2 linked regions of the Arabidopsis thaliana genome follow. The protein of the gene in region 2 interacts with the protein of the main gene of each other region in a pairwise test. Each region holds a gene or a part of one and is shown on either strand. Other genes may lie near its edges.

Region 1 (4,664 bases), on a different chromosome or scaffold from region 2:
CGGAAGAGAGAAACTGAGAAAGGATTGGGGTTAAATTGGTAATTAGATAATTGTTTCGCCGGAAAAAGAAAAATAAAAATTGTTTCAAGTTCTACGTCCTTTTCCAAAGCTAAGGCCCAATTTATTAGCCCATATATGCTATATAAGCATCAACTAGATAGGACAATATTTTAGGGCCCAAGGAAGACTCGTTTCGAGTATTGATTAATTCTTCAACGAGTTGACTTTTTGGAATCAAGATGTATAAACCAAATGTGCAGGACAATTTGAAATTAATTTGTTATATTTTGCATCATGTAAAAGGATTAATAAGCGAAAAGAGTAACGAATAGATACACCTCGTAATTGTTTTGGTGTAAAACTTGAAACAGTAGAATTGACGATTGGGGTTATATAAAATGGTGCGATCTTAAAATATCTGACTTTGTGCTAGTTTAAGTTCATTTGTGAATGGAAGACATGTAACGCTTTAACTATTCAGAATATCAGTTCCAAGTGAAGATGGAGGTAGCAAAAGTAAGACTAATAACCAAATCAATAAAAATCTTATACAATACTTATATTAACATTGCAAAGAGTTTCAAGGTTTTTCTTCTGAGTTTTGAAAGAAATTATAGGGAACAAAAGGAATAAAGAGGCATCAATTCGATCACTCAGAGCTACAAAACAATGGGACTAAAACGCAAAACGAAAGCGGTTTTTTTTTTTGAAACGCAGACGTAAGTAAAAACCCAGAGAGTTTGTCACACACAAGTGCATCATAGAAACGAAAACAAAAAGGGAAATGAAACAAACAAATGGAGAAGCAAATATAAAAGAAAAAAAGAAACTTTGATCCCATTCATAAAACCCCAGCTTTTTAAGCCTTTGATCTTGAGAGCTTAGAAACATTTTCTGTGAACGATTCCTGGACCTGCCTCATCATACTCGGCCTTGGAGATCCACATCTGTAACCAACATATACATAAATAATCAGCCTTTGATTTCAATTTGCATGTAAGAGAATTCGAAACAAAATCTGATCAATTTTTACCTGCTGGAATGTGCTGAGGGAAGCAAGAATGGAACCACCGATCCAGACACTGTACTTCCTTTCAGGTGGTGCAACGACCTTAATCTTCATGCTGCTTGGTGCAAGTGCTGTGATTTCTTTGCTCATACGGTCAGCGATACCTGAGAACATAGTGGTTCCACCACTGAGCACAATGTTACCGTACAGATCCTTCCTGATATCCACATCACACTTCATGATTGAGTTATAGGTTGTCTCGTGGATTCCAGCAGCTTCCATTCCCACAAACGAGGGCTGGAACAAGACTTCTGGGCATCTGAATCTCTCAGCACCAATCGTGATGACTTGCCCATCGGGTAATTCATAGTTCTTCTCGATGGAAGAGCTGGTCTTTGAGGTTTCCATCTCCTGCTCGTAGTCAACAGCAACAAAGGAGAGCTTCTCCTTGATGTCTCTTACAATTTCCCGCTCTGCTGTTGTGGTGAACATGTAACCTCTCTCTGTAAGGATCTTCATGAGGTAATCAGTAAGGTCACGTCCAGCAAGGTCAAGACGGAGGATGGCATGAGGAAGAGAGAAACCCTCGTAGATTGGCACAGTGTGAGACACACCATCACCAGAATCCAGCACAATACCTGTTCAATGGAAGATAATCAGAGCTCAGTTCAAATAATGATCAATGAGTATAAACAAAAAGCCTAAAATGTACTAACCGGTTGTACGACCACTGGCGTACAAGGAGAGAACAGCTTGGATGGCGACATACATAGCGGGAGAGTTAAAGGTCTCAAACATGATTTGAGTCATCTTCTCTCTGTTGGCCTTTGGGTTAAGAGGAGCCTCGGTAAGAAGAACAGGGTGCTCTTCAGGAGCAATACGAAGCTCATTGTAGAAAGTGTGATGCCAGATCTTTTCCATATCATCCCAGTTGCTAACAACACCATGCTCAATAGGATACTTCAAGGTAAGAATACCTCTCTTGGATTGTGCTTCATCACCAACATATGCATCCTTCTGGTTCATCCCAACCATGACACCATGATGTCTTGGCCTACCAACAACACTGGGAAAAACAGCCCTGGGAGCATCATCTCCTGCAAATCCAGCCTTCACCATACCGGTACCATTGTCACACACGATTGGTTGAATATCATCAGCCTCAGCCATTTTTTATGAGCTGCAAACACACAAAAAGAGTTCAATACAGTCAAATAAACCCTGATTGAATCAGAAATAGCTTTCTGTTCAACGTACGACACTACAAATCCTAAAGTTTCGAAGAATCTATACACAAACTTCATCTAACCTTAAACAGTGTTCAGATTCAATCTAACATTGACAGTGTTCAGATTCAATCTAACTTCAACAGTTCAGATTTCAATTCACATATACAAATCATTTCCCAGGTAACATGAACATGGATCTCTCCATCAAGGTCAAGCCAAATTCTGGTAGCTATAATCGAGCTAACTGATCGGTCAACTTAGATCGATTCTAGTAAAACCAAAAGATTTAGTGGAGGTTCACAGATCCAAATTAAACGAATTCCAGATCTCAAGGAAATTGAGAAAACAAGATCGAGATCCAGCAAATAAAGTAGATCCAGAAAGTTCCTATTACCTTGGAAAGAAAGAGCGGAAGAAGATGAGATTGAGGAAGATTCAAAACGGAGAATGAATCTCCTGGATTATCTCTTACTTTCTCTCTTAGTCTTCTTCCTTGTTCTTCTCTGTCAAGTCGCCGGAGATTCAAAACGGCTGATGAAAGTGAGGAGGACAACGAGACAATTCAAAGCGGAGAGGAAAATATATGAATTTATATAGGCGGGTTTATCTCTTACAACTTTATTTTCGGCCTTTCAAAAAAATAATTAAAATCGACAGACACGAATCATTTCGACCACAGGTAAAGATAACGTGACCTGGCTGTCAGACAGCCTTTTCCCTCGTGTTAACTAATTTTTAAACTAATTAATCATCTCAGCCCTTGGATTAGTTCTTTTGCTTTGATGGCTTCATGACTGTGACCTGCTCGATCCGCGTGTTACATGACAGCTCCGTTTTTTTAGTGGTTAACTTAAACCGAGTCAATCCAGGCAACGTTAGTCGTCGTCGTGGTTGGCTTGTTCAATTAGATTTCATACAATTCAACGTAATTTAATTCGTTTTCTATTAGAATTGTATCATAATTAATTCAGACCGTGAAAGAAAGTGTCTTTCATGATGTGTTTATGGATATTTATACAATAAGATACAATGTTTCATCATATTCACTATTCACGATTAGTATGTACATTAAATAATGGCTACTACTACATCCGAACTCGTCAAAACGATTCTGAATCAATTATACATATGCTGACTCTTGCATACATAAAAAATAGTTGTTTAAATTTTGTCTAACTAATGTTTGGTATAAGTATAATGTTGAGTTGAGATACCAATTACATCGAGTCTAGCCATTTTGTCGTGCCATATTCGTCAAAACTTTCTTACATAATGATAACCTAGATCTAGATGAGATATGTATCAATGTATTTGAGATCATAATTAAGTTCGTTCTAAATTTTGTCGACGTGACGAATAGTTTGTTGGTGTCCTCGTCACTTATATAGTTTTGGGACTTTTGGCATCGATCCATGTATTAGTTAGCTAGCTATTCTATGGTGAAATATATTTAACTATACGCATATATTATGATTTTATGTATTTGAACTCATCTAGTTAGCTTAAAAACTGAACATATGACCATCAGACCGTATATCAGATCAAATCATCATCGTGCGATGCGCTATGTAAGTGAAAGATATGAGCAATAACATGTAACCTCTCATGTTATACAAAAGAAAAAGCAAACTAATCATTCATCATCATAAACTTTTTAATGTTTGTTGAGATTAAATCAAAGCTAAAAAGTCAACTTTTTTGCGAGCCACGTGAATCGCACGTGCCGGTTACGATCGTACCAGGTGAGAAAGAGAGAGAATGTGGGAAGGTGATGAAGCTGGCACCTACGAAAACGTTGTGTCCATCATTACGAAACTACTTCTTGATTTATACATTGCTACTATTATCATTACATTTAATTTTCTCACTATTTATTATATGGGTTGGTTTATGCAAAGCAGGCCAGACCACGTTCATGTTTTTTATATTATAAAGTTTTCATATAAATGGCAGGCCACGTTCATATCTTTTGTTGGAGAAAAGTCAATTAAGGTTAGTTTTCTTGATTTGGTATGTAATTAATAGTTTGCTTGATCCCAGAGATCTAGCTTTTTTCCTCTCAACTTTACTAGTAGTGGTACACCACAATCCACCCATAAAGTTCTATTTCTTTTTTGGAATAATGGATTTGTGCCATATAAATTAAAATCGGTTTAAACCCTACATGCAACTTGCAATAGAAACCAATCGAACAATGATGTTTCCAGAGTTTCGTTATATATATATTTTTTAATGTAGAGATCAAATCTTCTGTAGTTAAGAACAACGTGAAAGAAGAAAAATTGTAGGTAGAATGTGTTTTGAAAACTCTTTTAACGTTTAAGTTTATAAATAAAAGAACATTTGGTCGAAATACATGTGACATTAAGTAATCATCTATATTTTTTTTCCTTTCTATCAACATGTATTATACGAATTTGAATATG
Region 2 (6,833 bases):
ACCTCTATCTTGTAAATTATACGTTTAGGGTGGTTCATTTTTGTATTGCATTTATTTTCTCAGTTATATTTATCAAATCTTCTATATATGATGGTTCAGTCGATTCGAGATTCGACGACCAACATACCTGGCTGTCCATTAGGATTATTAAAATTCAATTCTTGCCACCCTAAATTATTGGAACCTTACAAAACATATACTAGTATATAACTATATATTGTCACGATACACATGATCGCGCGGTTTAAACAAGATTTAACTTTAAAACTAAACGATATTTTTTGGTATTTTGTGGGAAAAAATAAAACAAGATTTGGAGACAAGATTTTGTCCTAACGATAACGATGAAAAAATGAAATCAAGTAAACTGGAACACATACATTTTTCCAACTACGTACTAAAAATAATGAGCATTTTAATACTATATAGTTGCCTTTTAACACTAATTAATTTATTTCCGATTTATGTATATCTGGTGATTCTTGTCAAATGTAAAAGAACGTAGATATCTATTTCTTTCATTATAAAGGCTCGACTCTCCTATATACATATAGACTCATGACTATTGTCTGTTAGCTAGATGTACATTATATAATATACACATGAATAAACATAGATGTAGTTTACAACCAAGCAAACGAGACTAATTTCATATTTTATACTACCTTTTTTATAACATTAGCGACAAACATTCAGTTAAGAATTTATATAATTTTGAAATAATTGCTTCCAAACAAACACAAGTTGGGAAATAACCACTAATAAAAAGTTAAAGAAACATCATACACAAAACTTGAAGTTGGGCATGTGCATGTGAAGGAAATTTTTTATACTTTATAGACCCTTTTTTGTCATCATTTACACTTATAGATATTATAGAGTGAGTGTTTGCTCAAAAGAAAAAGTTATTAAAGAGTATGATCATTTGCAACATGTTACTGACATTTCCTTCTTCCATATTTTGTATAGTTTTTTTATTTATTTTCTCGATCGACAATGGGCCGAAAGTTACCACAGATATGAGAGCTTGAGAACAGAATAAGATCTTCAATATTTAAACTAAGAAAATGTGAACAAGGGCTCCACACTTATGTTCTTTGTTCTAAAACACGTAGGCAAAAGGTTCCCTCTAACTCTCTAAGCATTTTAGATCAAATTGTCATCTATGAAAAACAAAGCTCAAAAGACGCTTTATTTGGCTTGAATCAACAACATATTTAGGTACTTCTTGTCACAAGTTTTTTAGAATCACATGTGCTAACTACATACAAGGACACAATTACACTATACTAATACTACAACTGTTTGTTCTTTGGGTTAGAAGCAACTTAGTACGTTGACCCTCAAAAGACTCGTTTCACGAAACACGAGTTACATTAATATTTTTCTAATCGAAGGAAAAGGAACGAAACGTAATAATGCCGCTTAACCCACAAACTCAGTCTTTTGCTTAGGTAGACCCAAATGCATCCTTTTAGTTCTAAGGTTCCGCAAATCTTGTCACAATCTGGTTCACCGTTCACGCATACGGAAACTCATACGGCTAAAAAAATGTTTGCATAGATGAATTGAACATGATCCAATATAATGTTATTAAACGCATACGGCTAAAATTTTGACATGTCAAGGGAAGTGACACGTAGACAAGTCGTTACGCCATGAGGTCAGCGTCCTTCGTCTACGTGGACACACTGCACATCCACGTGTATCCATCAAAAAGCGAGTTTCGTAAACCTATGCTTACACTCGCGCGCGTGATATTGAGATGTTGATCCCTCTCAATTAAGCATTCAATGCCACTGAGCCTAATTTCCCCGCACGAAACATTTACTCTGTTTTTTTGTTTCCCTCCTTCTACGTTTCTCTGTACACGGCTTTCTTAAATTGCTCACACGAAGCAGATAATTCGTCTCTCTATCTCTCTCTCCTTGCATCATTTTCTTCGTCTCATTGGTATTGATTGATTCACGTGACTTTGTACATTGCGGTTAAGTTCTTCCGTCTTGGTCATTCCACATGTTGTGTAGTGTTCAACGCCGAATTTTCCTTCACCCGAGGTTAGAGGCTTGCGGATTTTTCTGTACATTGGAATTAGCTTCGATGTTTCGAGATTAGTGTTAGAAATAATAGTTTGCGTGTTAAAGTTCTTATCTTTCCTGATTTGGTCGGTTACCTCAGTTTTGTCTTGTTGTGAGATGAATCCATCTCTTGCTATATTAAGGACAAATCTTCAAATCGGTGATATTTTGCTTCTTTTTTTTCTCGGCCACAGATTAAAATCGTCAAATTATCTGATTTTTGATGCCCTGAAGCTTTAGCTTGCATCTGTAGTCATTTGTCAAAGATAATTGAACAGAGGCTTTCTATATTCGTCGTCAAGGGTTTAGGAGATTCTGGGTTTTGGCGTGATTTTGAGGGGAAAGATTGAAACTTTCCCCGTGAATGGTAAGACAGTGAGAGATGTCTGGGTACGTGGGTGTTGTCGTTTCTGATCCATGGCTACAGAGCCAGTTCACTCAAGTCGAACTTCGGACTCTCAATTCCAAGGTTTCTTCTTTTTCACTGTTAGTCCTTTATATATACATCTCTTGTATGTAATCTTGTTTGATTTGTGGTGTAGTATGTGTCGGTGAAGAATCAGAATGGAAAGGTCACTATTGAAGATCTCCCTCCTCTATTTGCAAAGCTGAAGGCACTTAGTGCAACATTTAAGGAAGACGAAATCAAGGGTATGCTAGGGGAATTGGGTTCTGATACAAGCACTGATGTGAGTTTTGAAGAGTTTCTCAAGGTATATGGAGGTTCTACGTTTCATTGGGGAATCGAGGATTGGACTGAGTATGAATGTGATATGTATATAATGTAGTTTTGGATTGATCCTTATGTGCAGATATATCTCAACTTACTAAGTAAAGCAGCTGAGAAATCTGGTGGTCATCATAAGAACTCATCCTCGTTTCTGAAAGCTTGTACAACGACACTTCTTCACACTATATATCAGTCGGAGAAGGGTCCTTTTGTTCAGCACATCAATAGATATCTAGGGGATGACCCCTTTTTGAAGCAGTTCCTTCCTCTTGACCCTCATTCTAATCAATTGTATGAACTTGTGAAAGATGGTGTCCTTCTATGGTAAGGTGCACTAGAGTCCATCTCTACACAGAATGCATCTGATTTCTGCCTTTCACGTGTTTCTCTCCCTTTATTTCCGGCGTAGTAAGCTTATAAATGTAGCTGTTCCCGGGACAATTGATGAACGAGCGATCAACACTAAGAGGGTACTTAATCCGTGGGAGAGAAATGAGAATCACACGCTTTGTCTCAACTCTGCTAAAGCTGTTGGATGCTCTGTTGTTAATATTGGCACACAAGACCTGGCCGAAGGACGGGTATGTTTTCTCTGCTTAGTATTCAGTGTACGTTTGAAAATATTTCAACACACATCAATAAGTGTAATTATGTGCACCGTTCTGACCAGTGAGCTTTTATGATGTTTTGCAGCCTCACCTGGTGCTCGGATTGATTTCACAACTCATAAAGGTCCGCACACATCCACTTGTCCGCTCTGTATATCTTAGTTTTATTTTTTTTGTGTTAACCAAATAATGTTGGAAACTGCAGATTCAAGTACTTGCTGATCTCAATTTAAAGAAGACGCCTCAGCTTGTTGAGTTGCTTGAGGACAGCGATGTAAGTGAGCTATACCAATCACATTTTCAGCCATTTAATTGCTCTTGTACAATAATATAACAAGTTTCTCTCTGTTGCAGGATGTCGAGGAGTTGCTGAGATTACCCCCTGAGAAAGTCTTACTGAAATGGATGAACTTCCATCTTAAGAAAGGGGGTTACAAGAAAACCGTCTCAAACTTTTCCGCAGATTTGAAGGTATTTGGCTTCTCAAACTACAACTTGGAGGAAACCTTTCTCCTTTGCTTATCCAGATCTTTAGTTAGGCGGTTCTCAATTCAAGATTGTATTGTACTTACGTTCTACTGTTCCTTACAACATGTAGAAGCTATATCAATTCTTGGATAAGAGAAACAATATGAACTATAGAAGTCATAAAAGAAACAGAAATTTTATTCTTACTCAAGGTTTTGGTAATGTTATGGATGGAGTTTGTCCTCATCAAGTTTTTTCTATGATAAAGCGTGTTGCTGGTAAATCTGCAGGATGCACAAGCGTATGCCTTTCTGCTCAATGTTCTCGCACCTGAACACTGTGACCCGGCTACACTAGATGCAAAGGATCCTCTTGAAAGAGCTGAATTGGTTCTCAGTCATGCAGAGAGAATGAACTGCAAGCGATACTTGACTGCAGAGGAGATCGTTGAAGGATCTTCAACTTTGAATCTTGCCTTTGTGGCACAAATCTTCCATGAAAGGTTTGTATCGTGATGCACTTTCATCTCCCAAAAAGCTCCTAGATGATGGCTTGTCCTGTTTGATTAGGCTGGTGATGGTTTACTCAAAGAACAGACTCTTGAATGTTATGGAAAAAAGAACGGGGAAATGGTTTTCAACTTTTCGTACTATTATCAATGACTCATAGCTTCTTACCTGAAATCCCTTTACCTGAATATTTTTCCACTTAAGTTTTTTTATTGTTTTGTTTTCTACGCTCTCAATTTTACTCTGCCTGTCTGTACCTCTTGCAGGAATGGTCTAAACAAGGATGGTAAGTATGCATTTGCGGAGATGATGACCGAAGACGTAGAGACTTGTAGAGATGAACGATGCTACCGGCTATGGATCAACAGCCTCGGGATTGACAGTTATGTCAATAATGTATTTGAAGATGTTAGAAATGGGTAATCTTTATTTTGAGCTTATAGTAAATCAAGCAATTAGTAGAAAATTTTCCTGCAGTTGATGACGTTGCATTTGGAAAATACTGAAAACGCTCTTTGGTCCTGATGCCTTTTGTTTGTTCCATTTACTATTTTATGCAGATGGATTCTTCTTGAGGTTCTTGACAAGGTCTCTCCCAGTTCAGTCAACTGGAAGCATGCTTCCAAACCACCGATTAAGATGCCGTTTAGAAAAGTAGAGAACTGCAATCAAGTCATAAAGATCGGGAAACAGCTAAAATTCTCACTTGTAAATGTAGCTGGAAATGACATAGTTCAAGGGAATAAGAAGCTCATTCTTGGTAATCATTACCCGAGAGCTCATGTTTCTCTTAGCTTGATACAAAAACATGATCGCCTTGCCTTACAAACTGGAGATTTATATGGTTGTGTATCTCAGGTCTCTTATGGCAGTTGATGAGATTCCATATGCTCCAACTTCTCAAGAGTCTCAGATCTCGGACACTAGGTAAAGAGATGACTGATGCAGATATCCTCAGCTGGGCCAACAGGAAAGTAAGAACAATGGGACGAAAATTGCAAATCGAGAGTTTCAAGGTTCCTTTCTTTACAACTACTTCAAACACTTACCACAATAGTATTATATAAAGTATGTCCACCTATCACCTTCTAGTGAATCAAATTAAAATTCTCCAGGACAAGAGTCTATCGAGTGGGTTATTCTTCCTCAACCTTCTATGGGCGGTTGAACCAAGAGTTGTGAACTGGAATCTTGTCACCAAGGGTGAAACAGGTTTTCACTACTCTTTTTACTAAGGTATAGTTACTTACTCCGTTTACCTGAATCAAAGCTTATTTGATTATTATATGGTTATTGAAACGTACAGATGATGAGAAGAGGTTGAATGCTACATACATAGTTAGTGTCGCAAGAAAGCTCGGTTGTTCGGTTTTCTTGTTACCTGAAGATATCGTGGAGGTAAGAACTGAGAGACTATAATGTATCATCATCCGAAATAGCAATTGCTCAGATGAGATGTGTTTTGGTATGTTGTGACAGGTGAATCAGAAGATGATCCTAATTTTAACGGCAAGTATAATGTACTGGAGTCTTCAGAGACATTCACGGGAGAGTTCAGATTCGTCGTCAACTCAGAGCACCACAACGACGTGCACCAGCACAGCCTCGTCCCCTGCCCCATCTGTCACAGAAGAGGAGGAAGTCTCCTCATTGAGCGGTGAAGTCACGAGCTTGGCCGTTGGTGATGCGGTTTCTGAAATCACCACGGTCTCAGAGGAAGCATCCATCGAATAGAGAGAGCGAGATCACATATATACTGATATACATCTCTTGCTATAGCAAAGTAGCTGTTATAATAGTGACTTCTCTGTAATCTTTTGTTTTTTTGTTTCATCAACTAAAATTACCAAAAATAATAACAATGTTACAAACACTCAATCACATCGAGAAAAGTAAAGTAAAATTGTGAAAATTTGTTTAGTACTTAAAAAGTTAGGAGGAGGAAAAAGTGTACATCTTATTTTGAAAACAGACACTACGCAAACAACCATGGATCAGACGACGATGATCCACAACAGTCAAGGCAAACAAGAGATAGATAGCTCAACAGACGATGAAGATAGAGAAGATGGAACGAGACATGCAGACAAAAGAGGACTTGAAAACCGTGGCGTTGGGCACCTCTAAGATCAACTACATGGATCCTAGGATCACGGTCGCATGGTGCAAACGTCATGAAGCACCCATTGAAAAGGTAGTTAATTATATACAAAACTTGAATATTGATCTACCATGAAACAAAGAGAGTCCTCTAATAAAGTTTTTTTTTTGTAATGGCTGGTTCGTTAATGTAGATATTCAACAAGTCACTTCTGGAGAAATTTGCGTGGGCAATGGACGTAGAACCTCACTTCACATTCTAATATGCATTGCACTGCAGCAGCTGATGAGAGTTTCTCTATAAAACAGAGCAAAGCAGGCTACATTTTTTTTCTTCCAA

What was found.
Region 1: the proteins of FIM1 (region 2) and ACT2 interact in a protein complementation assay, tested with the Arabidopsis thaliana proteins (one study listed by BioGRID).

The regions. Positions count from the first base shown.
Region 1 is NC_003074.8:6,473,050-6,477,713, reverse strand, and holds ACT2 (actin 2), read right to left. Parts: upstream 3,005-4,664; 5' UTR 2,633-3,004; exon of another isoform or gene 2,190-2,632; 5' UTR 2,180-2,189; coding exon 1,726-2,179; intron 1,648-1,725; coding exon 1,034-1,647; coding exon of another isoform or gene 986-1,033; exon of another isoform or gene 948-985; coding exon 882-947; 3' UTR 510-881; downstream 1-509. UniProt on the Arabidopsis thaliana protein: Actins are highly conserved proteins that are involved in various types of cell motility and are ubiquitously expressed in all eukaryotic cells.
Region 2 is NC_003075.7:13,461,300-13,468,132, forward strand, and holds FIM1 (fimbrin 1), read left to right. Parts: upstream 1-1,797; 5' UTR 1,798-2,057; exon of another isoform or gene 2,058-2,272; 5' UTR 2,273-2,460; coding exon 2,461-2,547; intron 2,548-2,620; coding exon 2,621-2,791; intron 2,792-2,890; coding exon 2,891-3,132; exon of another isoform or gene 3,133-3,164; coding exon of another isoform or gene 3,165-3,217; coding exon 3,218-3,389; intron 3,390-3,501; coding exon 3,502-3,540; intron 3,541-3,621; coding exon 3,622-3,690; intron 3,691-3,770; coding exon 3,771-3,887; intron 3,888-4,174; coding exon 4,175-4,386; intron 4,387-4,659; coding exon 4,660-4,812; intron 4,813-4,953; coding exon 4,954-5,153; intron 5,154-5,251; coding exon 5,252-5,409; intron 5,410-5,508; coding exon 5,509-5,605; coding exon of another isoform or gene 5,606-5,628; exon of another isoform or gene 5,629-5,699; coding exon 5,700-5,791; intron 5,792-5,872; coding exon 5,873-6,127; 3' UTR 6,128-6,302; downstream 6,303-6,833. Other genes in the region: AT4G26701 (DNA binding / DNA topoisomerase type I), read left to right, coding at 6,447-6,587, 6,688-6,756.